Linked DNA regions of Saccharomyces cerevisiae S288C. The protein of the gene in region 3 interacts with the protein of the main gene of each other region in a biochemical or structural test. Each region holds a gene or a part of one and is shown on either strand. Other genes may lie near its edges. The genes, in order: YCK1, SPO7, PAH1 and TPK2.

Evidence for each region.
Region 1: of the proteins of PAH1 (region 3) and YCK1, one has a biochemical effect on the other in vitro, tested with the Saccharomyces cerevisiae proteins (2 studies listed by BioGRID).
Region 2: of the proteins of PAH1 (region 3) and SPO7, one has a biochemical effect on the other in vitro, tested with the Saccharomyces cerevisiae proteins (2 studies listed by BioGRID, with this or other methods).
Region 4: of the proteins of PAH1 (region 3) and TPK2, one has a biochemical effect on the other in vitro, tested with the Saccharomyces cerevisiae proteins (one study listed by BioGRID).

The regions. Positions count from the first base shown.
Region 1 is NC_001140.6:372,194-376,797, forward strand, and holds YCK1 (serine/threonine protein kinase YCK1), read right to left. Parts: upstream 2,118-4,604; coding exon 501-2,117; downstream 1-500. Other genes in the region: metalloendopeptidase WSS1, read left to right, coding at 1-365; SPL2 (Spl2p), read right to left, coding at 2,461-2,907; ARO9 (aromatic-amino-acid:2-oxoglutarate transaminase), read left to right, coding at 3,516-4,604. UniProt on the Saccharomyces cerevisiae protein: Casein kinases are operationally defined by their preferential utilization of acidic proteins such as caseins as substrates.
Region 2 is NC_001133.9:134,276-137,854, reverse strand, and holds SPO7 (Nem1-Spo7 phosphatase regulatory subunit SPO7), read right to left. Parts: upstream 2,002-3,579; coding exon 1,222-2,001; downstream 1-1,221. Other genes in the region: ERP2 (Erp2p), read left to right, coding at 1-157; FUN14 (Fun14p), read right to left, coding at 345-941; MDM10 (Mdm10p), read left to right, coding at 2,190-3,579. UniProt on the Saccharomyces cerevisiae protein: Regulatory component of the NEM1-SPO7 complex which acts as a phosphatase and dephosphorylates the phosphatidic acid phosphohydrolase PAH1. Essential for the formation of a spherical nucleus and meiotic division.
Region 3 is NC_001145.3:589,015-594,793, reverse strand, and holds PAH1 (phosphatidate phosphatase PAH1), read left to right. Parts: upstream 1-2,165; coding exon 2,166-4,754; downstream 4,755-5,779. Other genes in the region: MME1 (Mme1p), read left to right, coding at 321-1,427; MSS11 (Mss11p), read left to right, coding at 5,244-5,779. UniProt on the Saccharomyces cerevisiae protein: Mg(2+)-dependent phosphatidate (PA) phosphatase which catalyzes the dephosphorylation of PA to yield diacylglycerol. Required for de novo lipid synthesis and formation of lipid droplets.
Region 4 is NC_001148.4:164,300-168,619, reverse strand, and holds TPK2 (cAMP-dependent protein kinase catalytic subunit TPK2), read right to left. Parts: upstream 2,365-4,320; coding exon 1,222-2,364; downstream 1-1,221. Other genes in the region: AFT2 (Aft2p), read left to right, coding at 1-532; serine/threonine protein kinase HRR25, read right to left, coding at 2,860-4,320.

The DNA.
Region 1 (4,604 bases), on a different chromosome or scaffold from region 3:
ACGACACATTTTTGGGGAACGGTCAACGTCTCGGTGGAAGAGCAAACTTACGTTCAAATAGATATCCTATGACAGGAATAAGTACTAACACAGGGATAGTGAGAAAAAGGGGCAAAGGTGTGAAGTTAGGGAGTTTGCATCCAGAGGGTATATCATCTATAGATAGAGGTAATTCCCCGAGAGAGTTGGCGGCTTTTGCAGCCGAAAGGAGATATAGAGATGATCGCTGGTGCGGAGAGACGAAGAATAACAAAGATCAAATAATAAGTGATAATATTAGCAGCTCCTTAGAAGTTGTAATCCTTGATGATGATGACGAGGTACTCCCGGGAGATACTCTTATCGAAGTTATTGATCTCACTTAATCTCTTGTCCACAGCGAAGAACTCGAAAATTATAAGTATGGTAAATGTCGTTTCGGTTGTAAAGTATACAGATATATTCACATTACAAAAAATGTAAGAAAGACGGTAGTCTTGCAAAAAATGTCATTTCTATATTTAGCAACAACCTAATTTTTGGAAAAAGCCCTTATGAGAAGCAGCTAGACTTGAATTATCGTCATTTGGGTGCTGTTCAGGAGTTCTTAAAGCAGCAGAAGGTTGTTGTTGTGGTTGATAACGAGCGCCAAACTGCTGAGATTGAGTTTGCGCTTGAGGCTGAGATGGAGGTTGGCCTGTTGCACGTAGCTGTTGCTGTTGCTGTTGCTGCTGTTGCAATTGTTGCTCTTGAAGTTGTTGCTCCTGAAGTTTTTGTTGCTGCTGTCTCTTTTGTTGTTCTTGCAGGTATTTCTGCTGGGTTTGATGCTGGTAAGCTTCATAAGAAGTAGGGTCTAACTTTGGTTTATATTGAGAATTGCGCATATCTGCCTCAGTTTTTTGAGCATATTGCTGTTGCTGTTGCTGTTGTTGGAGCTGTTGCATTTGGAGCTGTTGCATTTGGAGCTGTTTGTTTCTATGTTTTCTCGATTTTTCGTTTGGTGGATTTGGATGGCCGTATCCGTGGAGATTTGGCTTCTTGTTTATGTTAAGATCCCAACCACGGCCATCGTTCAGTTTCATCCAATCATATTGGCCGTCCGCGGTTTCACCTAAATCATCCAGTACAGATAGTAATAGTTTTCTATAGCCTTCATAATCGGGACACTCTTCAAAGGAAAGACTTCTGACGATTTCTAGATACCTGCCAAATTGCACAGGTAAGCCTTGAGCTAGATCGTAAACGTTAGTAGATCTTTTCTTTTCACCAATCTTTTCGTATTTTTGCTTATTGTTTGGAGCTTTTAAACCCTGCCAGGGTAAGTGGCCTCTCAAGAAATAAAAGAAAACGTGACCCAAGGCCTCCATATCATCTCTTCTGGACTGCTCTCTTCCAAGGTGAGTATTAATGGACATATATCTGGCAGTGCCGCTGAGTGATTTTTTCTCTCTATATGGGATGTGCTGTTTAGTTTTCGGATCACGATACTGTTTGGCCATACCGAAGTCGATCAAATGGATGTTGTTTGCGTCAGGTTGGCCGGGCCTTCCAATCAAGAAATTGTCTGGTTTGATATCACGGTATATCAAGTCATGTGCGTGCAAGTCTTCAATCAAAGTAATCATTTGGACAGCAACTTGCACAACCGTTTTGACAGAAAATTTTCTTCCACACCAATCAAATAAATCTTCCAAAGAGGGACCCAAAAGATCAATGACCAAGATATTGTGCAAACCTTCTTGGCCGAAGTAGTACGCGTAGGGGATATTGGGAGTGCCATTCAGAATTTTATATGTTTTATATTCATCTCTTAATTGAGGGGCCTCCGTTTTTCTGGGCTCGAATTTGATCGCGACGGGTACGCCATTGATCATATTAGTACCTTCAAATAGCACACCAAAGGAACCTTCCCCTATTTTTTTGCCGATCTTGTAATGTAGGCCGACAATAGTAGAGTCATCTCTGGAAGAGTTGCTGTTGGAGTTGGCGGCGGTCGTGGCGGTCATCGAAGATCTTGCGGGCGAGTCGACAGCCTGGTGGTGGAGTTGTTTGTTTGCTTGTACGTTAAAATTTGCGTTTCCGTTTATATTGGTGAGGTTGTTAACTGCTAGAGTGGTACTTGCTATGGGCATGGACATGGGGAAGAGGAGAGCAGGAAAAGGGCCAGCGAATGCGCGAAATTTTTGTATGTGTCTTTTCTCTACTATGGCATCCACATGAAAACCAGTCACAGAGCACTCAATGAACGGTTTGCGTTTGTTGTTTGTAAGAAGCAAGCAGAAATCAAAGACCCATGTATACGATCGCTGATTTGTTTTGTTCTGTTTTTTCTTGTTCCGGCGAAAAAATCGTAAGAAACGAAAGGAGAACGAGCCCACAGGCGGGGTAACATCAAAAGGATTTATATTAGATCGTAAAGTCAATGCATATGTAACAGTACAGAGGTAGAAGGTATGTATGTGTAACGATTAAGAGATGCAATCATGATTGTTCTTCGTCAGACGAATCTTCGAATATGTCTTCGTCAATGACACAGTCGTTCTCCCAAAAGTCATGGGCGAGCTTGCTTAAAACGGCGGCAGCGTTTTGACGCTGCGCTCTACTTGAATCTTTCTCATTAATGTACTCGTTATACTCTTTAAAAGTTGATCCACTGAGAGATTGTGACTGCGATGTTCTACGTGGAGTATAGTAACTAGCAGGATTGAGCCTCCTGCACTCTTTGAGCCTCAATAGAGAAGCGATCTCCTCGGAGAGTTTTCTTCCCTTATGCTGGTGACCATCTTTAAGTTGTTTGTGTTGTCCTTGTGAAACTGCTGTTTCCATTTTGCCGCGTGGAGACATCTGTCCAATTTGCCCCTGGCTCTCTGTAAATACCCATATATGAACGTTATATATATTGTATATTAATGGCGTATATGTGCCCATGGGAAGTCATAGTAATAGATCTAGGCACGTGGCTGCAGTGACTCCGCGCAGGGCTGTACCGCCAAGGTAGATAAGAGAGCGGAGCACGTGGGAAAAGAGAGATACGGTATGTTACAACAGTCAAAGTAATGAACTTTCGCCCACGTGCGTACATCATTTACTATCTCAGGCCGCTGCGTTTGGAACTTTACGGCGTTGTAGTTGTAATTGCCATAACTGCCATGCATTTATGTATATATATTTTCGTACGTAATGAACATGGTTATGTTATATATTGTTTGCAATCAGAGAGAAGTTGAAGAGGAGAAAAAAAAAAAGAGAGAGCCGTACCGCAATAAAATGGACCCTTGTCGGTCACGTGAGCAAAAATACTATTGCCGCCGACGGCCGTAGATAATAACAAAGGAATAAAAAAAAAAAAGCGGTAACTCGCGGAAGCATTGCCGATGCTTACCGAGATTTGCCGCGGATAACCGAACCATCATTGGGGTAGGAAACATTATAAATATTTGATATATATAAAGGAAAAAGCTTGATTTGGTCTTGTAATATCCCAGTGTAAACATAAAAATACACACATACCACAATTACACTCTCTCATCGACTCAATGACTGCTGGTTCTGCCCCCCCTGTTGATTACACTTCCTTAAAGAAGAACTTCCAACCGTTTCTCTCCAGAAGAGTAGAAAATAGATCTCTGAAAAGCTTTTGGGATGCTTCTGATATCTCAGATGACGTCATTGAGCTAGCTGGTGGAATGCCAAACGAGAGATTTTTTCCTATCGAATCTATGGATTTGAAAATATCAAAAGTTCCTTTTAATGATAACCCAAAATGGCATAATTCGTTTACCACGGCGCATTTGGACTTGGGATCCCCCAGTGAGCTACCCATTGCACGTTCTTTCCAATATGCAGAAACCAAGGGTTTACCCCCTCTCTTACATTTTGTTAAAGATTTTGTGTCCAGAATTAATCGCCCAGCCTTTTCCGATGAGACGGAGTCTAACTGGGATGTCATCCTTTCTGGCGGGTCCAACGATTCAATGTTTAAGGTTTTTGAAACAATTTGCGACGAATCGACCACTGTGATGATTGAAGAGTTTACTTTCACCCCGGCTATGTCCAATGTGGAGGCTACAGGAGCAAAAGTCATCCCCATCAAGATGAACCTGACCTTCGACAGAGAGTCCCAGGGTATTGATGTCGAATATCTAACGCAGTTGCTCGATAATTGGTCAACTGGACCATACAAAGACTTAAACAAGCCAAGGGTCCTATATACCATTGCAACGGGCCAAAATCCTACCGGGATGTCTGTCCCCCAGTGGAAAAGAGAGAAAATTTACCAGTTGGCCCAAAGACACGATTTCCTCATTGTTGAAGATGATCCCTACGGTTATCTGTACTTTCCTTCCTATAATCCGCAAGAGCCATTAGAAAACCCTTACCATTCTAGCGACCTGACTACTGAACGGTATTTGAATGATTTTTTAATGAAATCATTCTTGACTTTGGATACAGATGCCCGTGTCATCCGTTTGGAGACTTTTTCTAAAATTTTTGCTCCTGGATTAAGGTTATCCTTCATCGTTGCTAATAAATTCCTTTTGCAAAAAATCTTGGATTTGGCCGACATTACTACAAGGGCCCCCAGTGGTACCTCACAAGCTATTGTTTATTCTACAATAAAGGCA
Region 2 (3,579 bases), on a different chromosome or scaffold from region 3:
AGCCAGAGAATGGAGAAACATGTCTACCGTCAATTCCACCGAATCAAGGTTGACTTGGTTATCTATATTGATTATCATTATCATTGCCGTTATAAGTATTGCCCAAGTTCTACTTATTCAATTCCTCTTCACTGGTCGTCAAAAAAATTACGTTTAAGAACTTTTCAATCTACGAAAAATATATGTCCGCAATATAGAACACAATTAGGTTTATATTCGACGTGATTTTTTTTTCTTCCTTAGCCCTATGTATATTTACTGTATAGGATAAATGAAATACCAAAAATAAAAAAGTATAAAACGAAAGAATATAACCCTCGTTTATATCTGGTCATTTGTCTTGCTCATTTGTTAGCATTTAAACTTGCTAATACGAAACTCAATGTAAAGAATACTTTAAAACCCATGTATTCTGTACCCAATAACCCATCAATAAGCAGTTTCTTCAAGTCTACATCTTTCAAAACAATTACAGATTTGATATTTTTCAAATTAATGCGAATCCATCCCTTGTACCGTAACCATTCACAAAGAAGCATGCTTGTAATACCGACATACATAAACAAAATTGATATCTTAGCCACCGTAACTCCTAAAACAACACCGAATAATGATCCCAAAAACATCTGCTTGTGACTACTTATTTTGTTCCTCCTTTCCTCGGTAATTGCCGTACTGTTGCCCACAGTTGGTTCCAAGGGACCCTGTTGTTTGACAGCTGCCCCTAAAGAATCATTGAATATCAACTTAGAAGGCTGGCGATTCATCAAGTAAAAGCCACCAGCAACTATGCCAGCACCGCCTAACCCTACAGAGCGAGTTAAGGGCTTTCCTAATTTATTGGCGACATTAAACCTCCATAAGGGGACGTTCTTGAACATGCGCTTCCCAACATTCAAATTACGAAACACCAACCGTTGCATATTAAAAGCCAAAGTCATTTTACACCTATTATTTTAAGTTCTTCCTTCTTGCCCCTCTAGCGTTATGCTGTTGTATGTATAATAAGATGCCTTGTTTAACCAATTTCAACAACCCCTAGGTTTTCTAGCACTTGTTGGAAAACTTAAATATGAAATGACGGATTTGTAAAATTTTCACGACACAACAGCTTCACTTCTAATAATGTATAAAATATAATTTATGTGTGAACATAGATGGTTACAATTTTACATAGGTAAATATGACCTCTTATTCGAAGGAAGAAGCCCTCCAACTCTTTCATTCTGATTTAGGTCGGAGTTCGTGCGCTTGTTTGCGTCTTCTAGCACCTTCCCTGGCCCAAAACTCGTCTCTATAAATCTCCCATCCTTCTCTAATCTCTGCACTAAATGCTCTGGGGTTGAGGACTAATTTCACATCCACAGCTCCGATCCTCGGTTGGGATTGTATCGTGACACTTTTCCAAAATTTCACAATGGCATTATCGTCTTTAAGCCACAGAAATTTTTTCAAACAATAAATATTACAATAAGCAATTGTTCGACTCACAAATCTTACTGAATCTGTGTATTTCTCGTCCCACGTAGACTGTACTTTAACTAGCTTCACATTAAACTGCCTAATCCCTTTATTAGTAGAGGTAAAAAATCTTCTTGGAATGACGATAGTTCTTCTATATTGTCCACTGATATGAAAAAGAACTACAGTAATGGAAATGAAAGAAAGAGTGAATTGCAAAATAACCCTATGGAGGCCCTTGACATAATCTGAAGTGAAATAAAGTTCGTAGAAGGTAAATGCGCCTACACCGGCCATAGACGCTAAGAACAAAGTGAATTGCCACTTCAGTATCTTTTGTTCGTGAGCTTGGCGTCTTAAATCATCCTCCAGTATCAACAAATTCCTGAAAATCATCGATGCTGGAGAGATATTACTGGAGTTCCGTATATTCTTCGCACTGGATGTCTTGCTAGTAGAACGCCTGCGAGGCCCGGACACTATACTGGCACTATCATCCTGGGCATGGTTCCCCACATCGCCTATGCTCTCTGGCTCCATGACCTCCTTTATTTAGCTTTCCACTACCTTTCTTCCTTTGTGTGTATAATCAATAGATTTTCGCTAAATTTCGCATCTTCCCTTTTAAGAATAATTAGTATTTAATTTTACTTTGACTTTATTGTTGAGTGAAGAAACAAAGCAAATATACGTTAGGAAAAAGACACGAACAGAGAAGACCGATCTTGATGCTACCCTATATGGACCAAGTACTAAGGGCATTTTATCAGAGCACCCATTGGAGTACGCAAAATAGCTACGAGGATATAACGGCCACATCGAGAACATTATTAGATTTCCGAATTCCCTCAGCAATACACCTGCAAATTTCCAACAAATCTACTCCCAATACATTCAATTCTTTAGATTTTTCTACGAGGTCCAGGATAAATGGTTCTCTGAGTTATTTATACTCCGATGCACAGCAATTGGAGAAATTCATGCGCAACTCTACTGATATCCCATTACAAGATGCCACCGAAACATACAGACAATTGCAACCAAACCTCAATTTCAGTGTTAGTAGTGCGAATACGTTGAGTAGTGACAACACCACAGTCGACAATGACAAGAAATTACTACATGACTCGAAATTTGTTAAAAAATCCCTTTATTATGGTAGAATGTACTACCCCAGCTCTGATTTAGAAGCAATGATAATAAAACGACTAAGTCCACAAACCCAATTTATGCTTAAGGGTGTCAGTAGTTTCAAAGAAAGCTTAAACGTTTTAACGTGCTATTTTCAAAGAGATTCTCACCGCAATTTACAGGAGTGGATATTTTCCACCAGTGATCTATTATGTGGTTATAGAGTATTACACAATTTCCTTACCACGCCTTCCAAGTTTAACACCTCACTGTACAATAATTCTTCGTTGTCGCTTGGTGCTGAATTTTGGTTAGGGTTAGTAAGTTTAAGCCCCGGTTGTTCGACAACTTTAAGATATTACACACATTCTACAAACACAGGACGACCACTAACTTTGACATTATCTTGGAATCCATTATTCGGCCATATATCCTCCACATATTCGGCCAAGACAGGGACAAATTCTACTTTTTGCGCGAAGTATGATTTTAATCTTTATTCGATTGAATCAAATCTTTCATTTGGGTGCGAATTTTGGCAAAAAAAGCATCATTTGCTTGAAACCAATAAAAACAATAATGATAAATTAGAACCAATCTCCGACGAATTGGTTGATATAAATCCAAACAGCAGAGCGACTAAACTACTGCACGAAAATGTACCGGATCTGAATTCAGCTGTTAACGATATTCCTTCTACACTAGATATACCTGTTCACAAACAAAAGCTATTAAATGATTTAACTTATGCATTCTCGTCGTCATTAAGAAAAATCGATGAAGAAAGATCTACCATCGAAAAATTTGATAACAAAATAAATAGTTCCATTTTTACCAGTGTTTGGAAATTAAGCACGTCATTACGTGACAAGACTTTAAAACTATTATGGGAAGGCAAATGGAGGGGATTTTTAATATCTGCCGGGACAGAGCTGGTATTCACTAGAGGCTTTCAAGAAAGTTTATCCGATGATGAAAAGAATGATA
Region 3 (5,779 bases):
CGATTACTAAACACCGAAAACTGCTAATTTCTCGTCTTCGAGAACTCCTCAACTATAATGAAACAGCAAGCGGTCTCAAAAGTCTTTGGCAATAGCAGCGCCTCCTACACTATCTTTGCATGCAATAGAAGGTATCACATTCCTATTTTTCTTGCGATTGAACTCTAACTTGACATCTCTAGGACCCTACAACGATAGCGACTTCTTACATTGTGTTCATTAATTTGAAAAAACATCAAAGCAAGCCGAAAACAAACGCTGAGTATTCTAACGAAGCACGCATAATAATCTTCACTTCCAACCGACTGGTATAAAAGATAATGAACTCATGGAACCTGAGTTCTTCAATACCGATAATACATACGCCTCATGACCATCCCCCGACATCAGAAGGAACTCCAGATCAACCAAATAATAACCGAAAAGATGATAAACTGCACAAAAAAAGAGGCGATTCAGATGAGGACTTAAGCCCTATATGGCATTGTGTCGTCTCCGGTGGGATTGGTGGAAAAATAGGAGATTCTGCGATGCATTCATTGGATACTGTTAAGACAAGACAACAGGGCGCACCCAATGTCAAAAAATACAGGAACATGATCTCTGCATATCGTACCATTTGGCTAGAAGAAGGCGTGAGAAGGGGGCTATACGGCGGTTACATGGCTGCCATGTTAGGCTCCTTCCCGTCAGCGGCAATCTTCTTTGGGACCTATGAATATACTAAGAGAACAATGATAGAAGATTGGCAGATTAACGATACCATCACACATTTGAGCGCTGGATTTCTTGGCGATTTTATCTCCAGTTTTGTTTATGTTCCATCAGAGGTCCTAAAGACAAGGCTACAATTGCAAGGAAGGTTCAATAATCCTTTCTTTCAATCTGGCTATAATTATTCGAATTTAAGAAATGCCATAAAGACAGTTATAAAAGAAGAAGGGTTTCGCTCACTATTTTTTGGATACAAAGCCACTTTAGCCAGAGATTTGCCATTTAGTGCATTGCAGTTTGCCTTCTACGAAAAGTTTAGGCAATTGGCTTTCAAGATTGAACAGAAAGATGGTAGGGATGGTGAGTTGTCTATACCTAATGAAATATTGACTGGTGCCTGTGCAGGTGGACTGGCGGGAATCATTACCACACCAATGGATGTTGTTAAGACTAGAGTCCAAACTCAACAGCCGCCCAGCCAAAGCAACAAATCATACTCAGTAACACATCCACATGTAACAAACGGCAGACCGGCAGCACTTTCCAACTCGATTTCGCTCAGCCTTCGGACGGTCTACCAATCTGAAGGTGTGTTAGGTTTCTTTAGTGGCGTTGGCCCTAGATTCGTCTGGACAAGTGTTCAGAGCAGTATAATGTTGCTTCTGTATCAAATGACCCTACGCGGATTAAGTAACGCATTTCCAACGGACTAAGAGCCTGATTTCTGGCTCATCTAACTCTCTAGAGGATAATTTTATGTGATAAAACTTTTCCTACAAGCGGCTACAATAAAGACAGTACAAGGGACCTCACCCTATTCGCCATCACTGCACATCACAGTGGGTCTTGTACTTATCATTTCACATACATAGATATAGGTTCTTCCGAATAAGTTTTGTATATAGTCATTTACGGCAAGAATACTCATCTAAGTTTAATACGCATTTCTCTCTTCGTTCGCAGTTCCTAACACTGAGCGTTCTTGTTTGGAGGGCTCGTTTAAAAAAAAGTCTAACAAATGTGACAGATTTGCTTGAACAGGGTCCAAACTCATCTTGTATATCATAACACTACATCACTGGGAGACAAAATCGAAGTGCCCACGTGCTGCTCATTCTCTAAACGGTCTGTCGCGGGCCCTTTTCGTCCTTCGGTTTCCCTCCCTTTAGACAATGGGCTCTCTTTTCTCTATTATCTATCTCTTTTTCTCGGCTTTTCCGGCCAGCGTTGAAAGCAGCGCACGGTGAGGGTAGAAGGAAGAGCAAGGACAAGTGAAGAGTAGGCCATCGTGGGGGCTTGTGTTTATAAAGAAAATACATTCAACAATTTAGTAAAACGTGTTCAAGAAGTGTTAATCAGACCAATTGGACACTACACCTTCGTAATCACAGTTTTACCTTCTAAGAAACATACAGGGAAGAAATTACTGAAGATAGACACATCGGTCGATTATGCAGTACGTAGGCAGAGCTCTTGGGTCTGTGTCTAAAACATGGTCTTCTATCAATCCGGCTACGCTATCAGGTGCTATAGATGTCATTGTAGTGGAGCATCCAGACGGAAGGCTATCATGTTCTCCCTTTCATGTGAGGTTCGGCAAATTTCAAATTCTAAAGCCATCTCAAAAGAAAGTCCAAGTGTTTATAAATGAGAAACTGAGTAATATGCCAATGAAACTGAGTGATTCTGGAGAAGCCTATTTCGTTTTCGAGATGGGTGACCAGGTCACTGATGTCCCTGACGAATTGCTTGTGTCGCCCGTGATGAGCGCCACATCAAGCCCCCCTCAATCACCTGAAACATCCATCTTAGAAGGAGGAACCGAGGGTGAAGGTGAAGGTGAAAATGAAAATAAGAAGAAGGAAAAGAAAGTGCTAGAGGAACCAGATTTTTTAGATATCAATGACACTGGAGATTCAGGCAGTAAAAATAGTGAAACTACAGGGTCGCTTTCTCCTACTGAATCCTCTACAACGACACCACCAGATTCAGTTGAAGAGAGGAAGCTTGTTGAGCAGCGTACAAAGAACTTTCAGCAAAAACTAAACAAAAAACTCACTGAAATCCATATACCCAGTAAACTTGATAACAATGGCGACTTACTACTAGACACTGAAGGTTACAAGCCAAACAAGAATATGATGCATGACACAGACATACAACTGAAGCAGTTGTTAAAGGACGAATTCGGTAATGATTCAGATATTTCCAGTTTTATCAAGGAGGACAAAAATGGCAACATCAAGATCGTAAATCCTTACGAGCACCTTACTGATTTATCTCCTCCAGGTACGCCTCCAACAATGGCCACAAGCGGATCAGTTTTAGGCTTAGATGCAATGGAATCAGGAAGTACTTTGAATTCGTTATCTTCTTCACCTTCTGGTTCCGATACTGAGGACGAAACATCATTTAGCAAAGAACAAAGCAGTAAAAGTGAAAAAACTAGCAAGAAAGGAACAGCAGGGAGCGGTGAGACCGAGAAAAGATACATACGAACGATAAGATTGACTAATGACCAGTTAAAGTGCCTAAATTTAACTTATGGTGAAAATGATCTGAAATTTTCCGTAGATCACGGAAAAGCTATTGTTACGTCAAAATTATTCGTTTGGAGGTGGGATGTTCCAATTGTTATCAGTGATATTGATGGCACCATCACAAAATCGGACGCTTTAGGCCATGTTCTGGCAATGATAGGAAAAGACTGGACGCACTTGGGTGTAGCCAAGTTATTTAGCGAGATCTCCAGGAATGGCTATAATATACTCTATCTAACTGCAAGAAGTGCTGGACAAGCTGATTCCACGAGGAGTTATTTGCGATCAATTGAACAGAATGGCAGCAAACTACCAAATGGGCCTGTGATTTTATCACCCGATAGAACGATGGCTGCGTTAAGGCGGGAAGTAATACTAAAAAAACCTGAAGTCTTTAAAATCGCGTGTCTAAACGACATAAGATCCTTGTATTTTGAAGACAGTGATAACGAAGTGGATACAGAGGAAAAATCAACACCATTTTTTGCCGGCTTTGGTAATAGGATTACTGATGCTTTATCTTACAGAACTGTGGGGATACCTAGTTCAAGAATTTTCACAATAAATACAGAGGGTGAGGTTCATATGGAATTATTGGAGTTAGCAGGTTACAGAAGCTCCTATATTCATATCAATGAGCTTGTCGATCATTTCTTTCCACCAGTCAGCCTTGATAGTGTCGATCTAAGAACTAATACTTCCATGGTTCCTGGCTCCCCCCCTAATAGAACGTTGGATAACTTTGACTCAGAAATTACTTCAGGTCGCAAAACGCTATTTAGAGGCAATCAGGAAGAGAAATTCACAGACGTAAATTTTTGGAGAGACCCGTTAGTCGACATCGACAACTTATCGGATATTAGCAATGATGATTCTGATAACATCGATGAAGATACTGACGTATCACAACAAAGCAACATTAGTAGAAATAGGGCAAATTCAGTCAAAACCGCCAAGGTCACTAAAGCCCCGCAAAGAAATGTGAGCGGCAGCACAAATAACAACGAAGTTTTAGCCGCTTCGTCTGATGTAGAAAATGCGTCTGACCTGGTGAGTTCCCATAGTAGCTCAGGATCCACGCCCAATAAATCTACAATGTCCAAAGGGGACATTGGAAAACAAATATATTTGGAGCTAGGTTCTCCACTTGCATCGCCAAAACTAAGATATTTAGACGATATGGATGATGAAGACTCCAATTACAATAGAACTAAATCAAGGAGAGCATCTTCTGCAGCCGCGACTAGTATCGATAAAGAGTTCAAAAAGCTCTCTGTGTCAAAGGCCGGCGCTCCAACAAGAATTGTTTCAAAGATCAACGTTTCAAATGACGTACATTCACTTGGGAATTCAGATACCGAATCACGAAGGGAGCAAAGTGTTAATGAAACAGGGCGCAATCAGCTACCCCACAACTCAATGGACGATAAAGATTTGGATTCAAGAGTAAGCGATGAATTCGATGACGATGAATTCGACGAAGATGAATTCGAAGATTAAAGATTCTTGTAGCCGAATATTATTTATAACGATCCATACTGCATATTAAGTAAAATTATGAAGTACTAAGTAACAATTTTTCAATTTTATTTAAGAAAAGAGAAGGAAAAAAAAAAGAAGAAAATTTTTTGATAGAAGAAAAAGGTAAACGATGATTGTTACGTACCAAGTGTTCTTCTGAGCTATTTGGTAATTACATACTTCTTCGAAATGTCAAGGTAAATACTTTTCTATACGCACACGAAACTCGCTTGCTGCAACAGGTATTACGTCAGGTGAAAAAAGCGGCCAAGAGGCAATGCCGAAATACAATGCGTGTATAACAGGAAGAGGAGGGGTATAATAAAATCACCATAGTAGAAAAGACCAGAAAGATTTCTATTGCAATCCTGTGTGACTCTTTTGGTTTTTCCCTTTGGTATCTCCCGGTTCTTTTGTCAATTTTTCGTTAAACTGCAGTGAAATAAGAAAAAGGTGCATGATAAAGATATGGATAACACGACCAATATTAATACAAATGAGCGCTCTAGTAACACGGATTTTAGCTCAGCTCCCAATATCAAAGGTTTGAATAGCCATACTCAGTTGCAGTTTGATGCGGATTCTCGAGTTTTCGTTTCGGATGTAATGGCTAAGAACTCTAAGCAATTATTGTACGCCCATATTTATAACTATTTAATCAAAAACAATTACTGGAACTCTGCCGCAAAATTTTTAAGCGAAGCTGACCTTCCTTTATCTAGAATAAACGGATCTGCTTCGGGTGGGAAAACTAGCTTGAACGCCAGCCTGAAGCAGGGATTAATGGATATTGCATCTAAGGGTGACATTGTTAGTGAAGATGGGCTATTACCTTCGAAAATGCTGATGGACGCTAATGACACGTTTTTACTGGAATGGTGGGAAATTTTTCAATCATTGTTCAATGGAGACCTAGAATCTGGGTACCAACAGGATCATAATCCTTTAAGAGAGAGAATAATACCAATTTTGCCAGCTAATTCTAAATCTAATATGCCTTCCCA
Region 4 (4,320 bases), on a different chromosome or scaffold from region 3:
GTTGAAAACGAAGTTGGATGCGGATCTACATGATACCGGATTTTTAGACAATTTCAAAACGCGGAATTCCTGTGTAAAGATAGAGAAAGAAGATTCTTTAACGAACTTAAACGAAATTGATTTTACGAACATGTTTTGCAACGACAATTTCATCCAAAATTACAACCAAGGCCTGATGGAACTTTTGACAGAACCTACACCAGGTCCTTCGTCCTCTTCTTGTATACTTCCTTCAACACCAACGAGGCCCTTGTCACAAAGCAAAATGGATATAGCCCTGTCAGAATCAACAACATCTTCACCAAATTTTATGGAAACAGACGCTCCTTATGGAGATGAGATCATTAAAGTTTCCAAAGATACCAAAAGCAACGCACCAACTGCTGATACAGATATTGCTACGAACTTAGGCAAAGAGAGAAACGAAAATTTTGGCATGTTAAACTACAACTACGAAGCGTTGCTTCATTTCAACGATGAGCATTTTAATGAATTAAATTCTATTGACCCAGCCTTAATATCAAAATATTAATTATTTAGTTTTCAACTCATTAAAACGGTATCACGTTTAAATATGTGACAAGATCTGATGGACATGAATAATGGTGATATCAGCACCATCGAGGGATTTTGGACCTTAGACTTTTTAAAGCTACGGAGGACTTAAAGCATGTCGATACAAATAAGATATATCATGGCTTCATGCGCTCAAAAGTTTTATTCTTCAAGTTTGTTGATTATAATATGGTTCACGTGCGCTTCATCTTTTCATAGGTAATGCACCGCAACATTCAATTATCTAAAAAACTTTCAGGCGTGCCGGTCCCCTAATTTTTGCACTGAGATCATGAGATCAGTAAGTAAAAGCTCATATAGGAAATAATCATATAGAAAAAAGCAGAGGAATGATATTCGAACATTTTCTATACATCACCCCTCCTATTTTTAGATGAATCTCTAAGATCTAAATGCCCTCAACTTAAATATGATATTGAATTAAAATGAATTGTAGTATAGAAGATATTTAGGGCAACGCTTGTTCTTCTCATCTCTTTTTCTTTTTTTACAATATGAACTAGCTTAAAACAGACCACAAATAAGGCATCCGTTAGGTAAAATATAAAGAAAGTGCGCCAGATTTTGGTGGAGGAAAAAAGAGAAAGGAAAAGGAGTGAGAGAAAGTACTTGAAAATTGTTTTTGTGTTTTTTGGTTCATGGAACTTAGAAATCTTGAAAGTATTCAGCATATGGATCATCGCCTTGAATACCATAATCTAGCTGCTCCTCGGGATATTGATCGAATAAAGACGTGTCACCGATACCTGATGTGATAGGAGGCTCGTATGGAGTTTCAATATCCTTTGCTAACAATCTTTCCCATACAACTTCACTAAACCATGGGTGAGCTTTGATGTCCCTGGAACCGCTTTGTAAATTACCGATTCTTCTTGTCAAATCTGCAGTGATCAGTTTGCTTAGTAGATCCACGACGTCGGGATGAAAATATGGTGGATATACTACTTTACCTTGTAAAATCTTTTCATACGTCTTCATTGGAGTAGTATCGTAAAAGGGTGTATAACCAGCTAACATTTCGTAGATTAGAACACCTAGAGACCACCAATCCACCGACTTATTATATGGCTTTGTGGTAATAACTTCAGGAGCAATGTAATCAGGAGTCCCACAAAGCGTCCATGTGACAGTTTGTACCTCTTTGGCGAACCCAAAATCGGTTATTTTAATGTGGCCATTTCTATCCAGCAAGATATTTTCTGGCTTTAAATCCCTGTAGATGATATTATGAGCATGCAAGTACTCTAATGCCAGTATGACTTCCGCAGCGTAAAATTTTGCTACAGGATTAGGAAATCTTTGTGACTTTCTCAGTAACGAGAAAAGTTCACCACCTTCGATATAATCCATCACCATAAAGATATTCCTAGCATCTTGAAACGTACCCCACATTCTAATCAGAAACGGATGCTCCACAAGCTTTAGCATACGTCGTTCGTCATTGGTATGTTCAACCTGTTTCATCTTGACAACTTGTTGTTTCTTTAAAACTTTTATAGCATAATACCGACCATTGTGAACAGAGCGCACCAAATGAACCCTACCAAAAGATCCAGTACCAAGCGTTCTCATAATCTGGAAGTCATGTAGTGTATATTTGCCTTTGGATACGAGAGATTTCTGGGGCAACTGAGACGTCAGCAGTTGTTGATGCTGACGCTGCTGTTGTTGTTGTTGTCGCTGCTGTAAATCATGATGCGGTTGTAGGACGCCTTGCCCGTAAGTATTAACATTTTGCTGCTGGATTGTTTGACCAACTGGCTGAGCCCTTTCTGCAACGAATTCCATACCGACAATTTTCAACAGTATGTGAGTTAACCTGAGTGAAGCTGCTGTTTGTGCCGGCTGTATATTTGCACAAACTTCCTTGGTATTCCGTCGTTATCGTCTCGTGATTGTTTCCTAATCAGACACTATAAGGCAAGTTAATTATCGAAAATACGAATTGATGCTGTCTTCTCAGAGGCCCTCCTTTAAAACCGTCCAATATTCGTGATTGATCTTCGATCGTTAGCCCTTTATTACATAAAAAAAAAACAAATTGGCCAAGAGGTGCTCCGCTCCCCCTTAATTTCCTTCCCGAAGAAAAAAATGCATAAAAAAAGTGGTTCTTTTAGCTATCATCTTTTTAGGTAAGAAGGCCAGAATTGTATATATTAACTCGATATGGAATTGTGTGTACGTATATGTAAATAATAATAATAATATATATATATATATGTGTGTGTGTATGTCTATATATACATATGTTTATTTTTGTGCGTTTTGAGCAATATATGTTGCTTACAACCAAATTGACTGGCCAGCTGGTTTATCTTGAGGCGGCTGTTGTGGATTAGATCTCATTTGTGGAGGTACAGATGCTTGATTAGTATTAAAATTATTGCTGTTTATTTGTGGGGGATACTGAGTAGCCCTGGTTGTAGCCATCGGAACTTGCTGCTGTTGCTCCTGAGAATCTCTTTGTTGCTGCTGTAGTAACGGTTCAGGATAATAATTTGGTCTTTGGCCATTTGGTTGCTGCTGTAGCTGTTGGGGCTGTGGTTGTGGCTGCGAACTTTGGACCTGCTGCTGCGGCTGCTGTTGTCTCAAGTTTTCCATACCTTTATCTAGTGCGTTCAATAATTCCTCTGGTAAAGAAGAGGCTGCATTATTATTCAAGATAGTTTGTTGTTTGATCTCTTCTGGTGAAGGATTATGTTTGTCTTCATTCTTGTAATAGTGGAAATGGGTGGGGAATTTCTTCATGGCTAACAGTTTAATCTTGTTGAAAGTTTCAGACTTGTTGTCTGTGCTGTTACTTGCACTTGCTGCATTGCTATTTGCGTTCAAATCACCTTTTTCGATGAGGAGGTCCCTTTGCTTCTCCACCATCGCCTTTGTGTAACGCAACATTGTCCAATCGAACAAGTGGTCGTTGTGATACTCTAGTTTAATACTCAGATCTTTAAACAGCCTTGCCAAGAACAAATAATCTGGCTTCTCATCGAATTTCAAATTCTTACAGTAAGCCATATATTCTTGAAACTCTAATGGTAAACCTGAACATAGAGTTTCCACGCTAACGTTTAATTTCTTTTCCATGATACGATCATACTTTTGTTTCTTGGTGGTTGCTTTCAAACCCTGCCATGGCAAAGAACCCTTACAAAAATAGATCAAGACATAACCTAGTGATTCTAAGTCATCTCTTCTACTTTGCTCTATTCCAAGATGCGTATTGACACTTGCATAACGAGCTGTACCTGTCAAGGACTTGTTCTCCCTGTAAGGAATATGACGATGTGTGTTGAAATCTCGGTATTTCTTTGATAGACCGAAATCAATAACATGAACGGTGCTACCACGGCGTCCTACCCCCATTAAAAAGTTGTCTGGTTTGATATCTCTATGAATGAACGACCTTCCATGTATATACTGAATACGGCAAAACATTTGCAAAGCCAGCATGATAACCGTCTTAAAGGAGAACCTTCTGTGACAGTAGTTGAATAAATCTTCCAAAGATGGGCCTAGAAGATCGATGACCATAGCATTATATTCACCCTCTCTGCCAAACCATCTGATGAACGGGATTCCCACACCACCGCTTAAGTATCTGTAGACGCGGGACTCATAGTCCAATTGAGGATGTCTGGACCTGATCGATTCCAGCTTGATGGCTACTTCTTCACCACTAATTAAGTTCGTGCCGTGGTAAATGTCACCAAAGGAACCACTCCCAATCTTCCTGCCAATACGAAA